2 linked regions of the Rattus norvegicus genome follow. The protein of the gene in region 1 purifies or fractionates together with the protein of each later gene. This does not show direct contact. Links are inferred from orthologs where the notes say so. Each region holds a gene or a part of one and is shown in the gene's direction. Other genes may lie near its edges.

What was found. The genes of interacting proteins can lie anywhere in the genome.
Region 2: the proteins of Cstf2 (region 1) and Cstf3 fractionate together in Homo sapiens (co-fractionation; 4 studies listed by BioGRID and IntAct, with this or other methods). This does not show direct contact. The link is inferred for Rattus norvegicus from reciprocal best matches to the Homo sapiens genes CSTF2 and CSTF3.

What each region holds. Positions count from the first base shown.
Region 1 is NC_086039.1:101,567,535-101,571,034, forward strand, and holds part of Cstf2 (cleavage stimulation factor subunit 2), read left to right. Parts: exon of another isoform or gene 1-127; coding exon 128-250; 3' UTR 251-253; intron 254-2,642; 3' UTR 2,643-3,500. UniProt on the Homo sapiens protein: One of the multiple factors required for polyadenylation and 3'-end cleavage of mammalian pre-mRNAs. This subunit is directly involved in the binding to pre-mRNAs.
Region 2 is NC_086021.1:111,419,806-111,424,090, forward strand, and holds the start of Cstf3 (cleavage stimulation factor subunit 3), read left to right. Parts: upstream 1-1,485; 5' UTR 1,486-1,622; coding exon 1,623-1,649; intron 1,650-4,285. UniProt on the Homo sapiens protein: One of the multiple factors required for polyadenylation and 3'-end cleavage of mammalian pre-mRNAs.

The sequences.
Region 1 (3,500 bases):
CTCCCTTTTTTCATCTTGCTTCATATCCCATGACAGTAGCCTTTTAGCTAGAAGCTGGTGATGTTTCTGTTTTATTTGTTTTTCTGACTTGTCCTTGAAATTCACAGCTTTCCTTTCCTCTGCACAGGCTGCTTTGATTATGCAGGTCCTTCAACTCACTGCAGACCAGATTGCCATGCTGCCTCCTGAGCAAAGACAGAGCATCCTAATCTTAAAGGAACAGATACAGAAATCCACCGGGGCACCTTGAAAGGTGAGCTGACTGAGTGGCACCTGGGCAGGACTAAGTCCTTCTGTGTGTGAAGTACATAACTTCAACCTTTAGCAGCGTAATGTTCTCTGAGACCCTCAGTCTTCGTTAGGTTCTCTTTACCATTCAGTAATCAGTACCTCTGAGGATATGTTAAGGCTGTAAAACATTTGTTCAGTTGTTGAATTACTTACAATCTTTTTCAGCCTTTTATAATAGTGAAATTAATATGTCGGTTTCCTAAAATTAATAAGACACAGGAATGTAGAAAATTAAAGGTAGGGCCAGCAAGATGGCTTAGAAGGTAAAAGTACCAAATCTTTTGCCAGTTCTGATTAACTGAGTTTGATCCACAGAAGTTACATGCTAGAAAAGAGAACCAACTCTTCTCAATCTGTCCTCTGACCTTACACACACACACACACACACACACACACACACACGGTAGCTTATGTGCACCCAAATATAGTAAATAAATGTAAGTAAAGAAAGAGAGAAGAAAGAGAGGTTAGTAAATGTGAAAAGCCTTGCTTCCTAGAGATCAAACAGGGATCCATGCACTCGAAGCATAGAATATACCAGCTGAGCTATAACTCAGCCCTCGTAATGAGCATTTTGGTGGTTCATTATTATAAGCCATTTAAAGTAGTAGATGTCCCTGTCACCATCACTTTCTTTACATCATAAAGATGACTGTACACAACTTTTCTCCTTTATAAATCAGGTAAGAAGGATCCAGGTGCACTTGCCTCATAAATAATCATATGACCAAACTAGCTGTATAATATTGTTTTGTTTTTTAAAATATTTCCCAACATCTTTATATTTCATAAACAATCCTGTTCTCTGAAAGCAATTTAAAATGTATATTGTCCTGTACCTGTTGTAATGTCTTTTTTGGAACCTTTATCTTTTATCCATATGCCTTATAAATCCCATACACATGTTACCATGTCTTACTAACTATACTGTATGTAGTTCATATTTGTAGTACCTTTAAAGCTTTCAAACTACAAATATGCATTGTATTTTATGGAGACTTTAAATGCCTAAACTATAATTGGATCATTGATGGTTAGCTAACTAGACATTTAGTATATCCTATTTTACCTTTTCCCCCTTATATCGTACACATTCTATTTCTTCAATAGAAACATGGATTATAATAGTGATAGGGATTTACATTTTAAAAGGTACGTCAAAGAAGGCATTCTCTGCAGTATGAGCAAATGACTGGTTTTAGAAAGTTGTATACTCTCAGTTATCTCTCATTTGCCTTGCATCCTGACCTCAGTGCAGGATTTTACTTTCTTTATTTTTTTTAATTTTAACCTTTTCAAATGATCATTATTTTACAGGGATTTGGAAAACTAATACAAAGGGCCTGTATGGCTTCTCACAGTGATAACATCTTACACTTTTCTTTTGAAGTACAGGCCCAGGCACTTGTCGTTGGTGTATTACTGTGAGCGAGACTGTAGACGATTCAGTGTTTATAACTGTGGCGGTGCTAATTTATACCAGGAGATGTGAAAACACAACTGTGATTTTTATGTGATCAAACTCTACTGGCATTTATGAACGCTGTGGCTGAAGCAGTGGCTTTTCCTCCTAAACTTAAGATTTGATTTCTTTCCATCATCCCAGAGAGACGTATTCATCACTATTAGACATAAGTAGTACTTAGACTAGAGAGATCGCTCAGTTCCTAAAGTGCACACACTTGAGAAGTACCTGAGCGTCCAAGTTCAAACCCTAGTACCAACGTGAAAAGTTGGGTGTGGTGGTACACCCTGGTAATCTTAGAGGGGGAGGTAGAAACAGGAAGATTTTTGGGGTTTGCTGACCAGCCCCCCTAACCTAATCAGTAATCCCTAGACCCCAATGAGACAGCCAGTCTCAAACCAGGTGGATAGTCTTCTAAGGCTTGTTATCACTTGAAGTTCACTTCACCCCATGGCTTCTGCCCTCATAGACACATATACATATATGAGAAAGGTAGTTTTGAGGTAGGGGAAGTTTACGTATCTATGGTATATTTGTCAATTTATGTTGTCAAAACTTTAGAAAGTTACAGTATACCACTGTCATTCCATGGGTACAGATCAGAGATGCTTCTGAACATCCCATAATGATGCACAGGATATCTCCCTCACTCCTTCTTCTAAGAGCGCACATTTGGTTAAATATGTCCCTATAATGCTAAGGTTGAGAAACCCTGCTACAAAGGACGATGGGGAGACACAATAAGAGTCAGACAATGGCTATTTGATGGTCAGCACATCCTCCCTTCTCTCAGTCCACTTTTGTTCTGTGACGGTGGTTGTTTTTTCCTGATGTTTAGGAAAGAAAAGTCCACTTAAAATACCTTTCTCCCAAATTTGTCTTACAGGTTCTCAAAAATACCTGGCAACAAATCTGGAAATGTAATTCCATAACATTGTTGAAATGTTGAAAACATAGTGACTTCTGCATCTAACCCCCCTGGATGACTCAGATTGGTACCAGGTGGAGGACCTGCATCACCATTTCTCCAAAGGAAAACAGTTCATTCTGATGTCGTAGTTTGTATATTTTCTGTGATGTTAAATAAACATTGAACATAAGTTTAACATATTACAAATTGAAATACATAATCCTTTTGCTGTTAAGAAGCTAACACCAAGGATAAAAGCTTAGCTGTGATTTCTGACCTTACTGCAGTGTCATTCTTTAATCTTACATTGCCGTAGCTCTATTCTTACTTTAGCATAAACATTTATTCTTCTTAATGATACTTGAGAATTTCTCAGAAACAATGTTTTTAGGAACTTTGTTTTTTGTTGAATTTGCTTTCAGCAAGGTAATAAGACTTTGGCCCTTGAAAACTTTCCAGTCTTAGAGTTTTCTGGGAGAAAAAAAGCATGTGGTTAGAACTACAAACAATTAGAAGACCAACAAGCGAAGAGCATACCACAGGGGTGTGTTTGGTTTAAGGAATGCCAATTCTCAAACTGTGGTTTTAGTCAGTTGCAGGTCTGGACATACATAAGACAAAGATTGTTTTGGCACTGGTTTGAATGTGAATCAACAACCTAAGACTGTTGTAAAGCTCTTCTGTCTATGTATCAACTTTACAAGGTTTTCTACATGTTCAAATTTAATAAAGAAAACCAAGTGAACAAACTATATTCCATTCTTTCAGAAAATTGCAAAGCTTTCAGCCCTATCATCTTCTCTAAATCCATTCCAAAAACTCCCAACAGAAAAC
Region 2 (4,285 bases), on another chromosome or scaffold:
CTCCATTTGGCAATCTTCTACTCCTGGACTATAAAATGGTGTATCTTCCCCACATCCAAGGCTGATCTCTCGAACCCAGCCCTTAGAGACAGCCTGTGTGCATGGATTTTAAAAAAGCTTGTTTTAATTAATTTGGTCATGATTTGGGTTAGTGGTCTTTCTGCTTGTATCTGTGGCATTAACAGCATCCTCTAGATGTTTTGATGAATACGCACACAGATGCACACATATATACATACATAAGCTATTTTATATTCTGCACTTTTTGGGCTTAATTTCGTGGATATCTTTAGAGTTATATATTTATCTTGTGTATGTCTATGCGTTTGTGAGTGCAGAAGTTTACATGCCATAGTGCATGTGTGGAGGTTAAAGAACAACTTTCTGGAGTCAGTTCTATCCTGTCAACTCATCGAATGCTAGTAGGATCAAACTCAGGCTTTTAGGACATCACAGCAAGCACCTCCATTCTTCGAACCACCCTGACTCATTGTGGATATTTTTATAAGTCAGTTACATCAGCAACAGTTTAAAAAATTGACTCTCCATTGTAAAAGACTTCTGAAATATTCAGACCTCCATTATCAAATGTTGCAGTGACTCCTAATATATGTACATGTGATTCACGCGACTGTTTGCTTAAAAGGTGAAATAGAAAGTTCATAGGCCCTTGTCGTCCTGGAGCCTTACAGGACTCGAACTCACAGAGATCCACCCTGCCTCTGTCCCCAGGGTGCTGTGATTTAAGGCCTAAGCCAAAAGAGAGGGTTTTTTTTTTTTTTTTTTTTTTTTTTAATTAAATCTCAGCTGCTGTTGTTATTCTTATCTTTAGGTAAGGAAACAGAGACAGAGAGAATGCAAATTGCCCAGGTTACTCTAGTGAGGTGAGAAGTCTGGGTACAAAGCAACATTTCGTACTATCCGTACTATCACCGCAATTTTGCAGACAAGAAACCATAGTGAGACGCTAAACTAAAATCCCGGGTCTGGTAGTGAACGGTGACAGCAAAAGTTAATACGAACTAGATTTGTTCCTCTCACCCCCAAGAAAAGAAAGTGTACAGAATGCCTTAGTAGACTCCTTATCCCCTAAACACGAGAGGTATTCACTAGCTCTCAACGCTGTTCCCTAAAATGGTCAGTTTGCCTGTACTGAGCGGATTGGCAGTCAGGCTTCAACGGGGAGGAGCCTGGCTCTGCAACTCAGTAATTAAATTCCAAGAAGCGCGGGAGCTCCCAGGCCAATCGGCTGGATCTTTCCGGCCGTCCTCAGAAATCTGGACAGCGGCGTCATCAGTTCCGGGCCGTGACGTTAGCTCACGCGCTGAGCCCGCCCCCTGGGATCGCTCTGCGCTTGTGCACCTCCAATAATCCGGGAGTTGAGCCTCAGCCCCGCCCATTGTCCCGGAAGTGAATACGGAAGCGACTCACACCCCCTCAGCCGGCTGGGGCGCAGCCATTTTAATTCATATCTGAGTGGGCGGTGGCGATTTTTGCGGCGGCTCTGGCTCCGAGGGACAAGGGGTAGCGTTACTGGTTTTGGTGGGGTTGTTTTTAGTTTAAAATTTTCCTTTCTAGCTTCCCATTGCCGGCCCGTGTGTACGTTGTAATCCTCTGAGGCCATGTCAGGAGACGCAGCCGCGGAGCAGGTGAGGAACGGGAGCGGTGGGGCCTCGTGGCGACTTCTCTCTCTGGCCTGTGGGTGCGAACACTCCAGCCCTGTTCGCGTGAGGAAGGGCCCTGGGGATCTAGTGAATCCCGGGGTCGGAAGCACAGCTCCTGAGGTCTCCCAGATTTTGACTTTTCTGTGGCGTTCACACGAAGTATTTGACTTAGACAATAGCTGAGACGTTGCTTCGCCCTGTTCGTTGCACTTTCTTCGGTCGGGACGGTTTATTTCATACCATTTTAGTGTTCCGGTAGTACCGGATTATTTTAACGTATATCTGCGTTGGCAATATTTCTCTCCTCTGCGCCCCAGTCTGCTGTCCCCAGAAATAAAAACTAAACCAATCTGGAAAATTCGGCCCCCGAGAGAGCGAAGGTTAAAAGTAGCAGTCCAGAAGTAGAGCATGGCTCTTCCGAGCTTTGGTGGAATTTTGCTTTCTTTCTCTCTCGTCAAGGAAAACGTTGTTTTTGCTTTTACGAGCACGCAAACATTGCAGAATTTGGTAAATTGAAAACTGGAAATGTGCTTTAGTCACTGTAGGTACCATCTGTTTGGATGGTAGATATGAATGATATCTAAGTATTTTACAAATTGGATTTTTAGATATGAGATCTCACCCTTTTACTGCTTGTTTGTTTATTTTGGATAGGGTTTTACTGAGTAGCCCTGACTAGGCAGGACCTTCTGACAGGCTTGCTTCCTTGGCCTCTAGTGCTAGGGTTATCTGGGAATACTGGCGTGCATCTTCATGTTGGGTTCTTTTGCTCTTTTATATCCTAAATTTTGTAGGCTAGTGTTTGCTTTTTATTGTAAAAAACAAAAATGACTATGAAAGATGTGTGTTTTGATCTTGATCCTAGTATATTTAGTTCTAAAAGAAAGGTGGTCCTACAAAGTTCTAAATTTCCTATTGCTATAGTAACGGAATACACTTGTATTTTTTTTCCTTTTCTTTTTTCCCCAAATCCCCACCTTATAAAGTAAAAATTATTGGAGGTTGATGGATGAGGTAAAATAGGACTGTATGTTAATGAAGTGTAGGTAAATTAGAACTTAATTACTTTGGGAAGTCTTGGCAGTGCTTTTGTATTTTATCTAATGTTAGGGTGCCCACGAATGCAATGTCTTTGAATTATTTTACTTACTAAAACTGTTTCTTTTACTCTGCTCTTCCAGGGCTGGCATTTTTATTTTCTGAAAGGAAGGAGTGGTGTTGAGGTTTCTTTGGATGTGTCTGGAATTCACTGTTTTACATAAATTTGTAAAGACAAAAATATTGCCGTGGTTTTGTTTTAGAACTGTGTGGGTTTTAGTTTTTGTTTTGGTCATACTATTCCACCCCAGGTAGAAATTGAACCTCGGGACCTTGTGCATGCTGGGAAGTACTCAACCGCTGAGTTCAAAGCCTTAATCACAACACAGTGTGCCATATTTCTATGAAAACAACTGTGATGAGACCTTATAAACCTTCATTCTCCAAACCCCTTTTATTTTGACAGTTGTCACTATGTAGTCCTGGCTGGCATGGAACTTGCTATGCTACATAGACCAGGCTGTCTTCGAATTCATGGAGGTCACCCACCTCTGCCTTGCTGAGTGCTAGGAGGAAAGATGGTACACCACCACATCTAGGAGGAAAGATGGTACACCACCACATCTAGGAGGAAAGATGGTACACCACCACATCTAGGAGGAAAGATGGTACACCACCACATCTAGGAGGAAAGATGGTACACCACCACATCTAGGAGGAAAGATGGTACACCACCACATCTAGAAGGAAAGATGGTACACCACCACATCTAGAAGGAAAGATGGTACACCACCACTTTTAGGAGGAAAGATGGTACACCACCACAATAGCCTTTGTAAGATTTAGTTACTCTGTGACTCAGGCAGGCCTTAGATGCAATCTTTCAGCCTCAGCACCTGTAACAGGTATTCCGCCTTTGAATTTTATTACACAGTTTATAACAAAAAAAAGTTGAAGGAAAAACTCATGAACACCCATTATAATTTTCACCAAATCCAACAATGGTTACAGGGTTTGTCGTATATATGTGGTATTGCATGTATGTGTTCATATACATATTTCTTGTGTATGGCAGTGCTGTGGCTTTAAAGGTAGGATCTTGCTCATATTAGGCAAGCTCTACTATTGACTATTGATATATTTTTTTCTCCATAACGCATTTCTTTGAAAGTTGACATATCAAACTTCATTCCAAACTATTTCAACATTCTCTTATGTAATGACATTAATTGTGTAACATTTCTGGCTGTCCTGGAACTCCATTGATAGATCAGGCTGACCTCCAACTCACAGAGATCTGCCTGCTTCTGCTTCCAGAGTGCTGAGATTAAAGGAACCCCTCCTGGCTTCTGTGTTATTTTTTTTTATGATAGGGTCTTGTACAAGTTTGAGGGCAGACTGGCTCAGTTTGTGGCTGATAATGACCTTGAACTTCTACTTCCCAAGTACTGGGATCATAGGTTCTTTCCAGTGCACTTGGCTTGATGATGTGTTTCTAACATATCCATACTCAGAATTGTCAGTTGCATCAAGAATGTGATTTATAGGGCTGAGGATGTGATCAGTTAGTAAAGGTGCTTGTG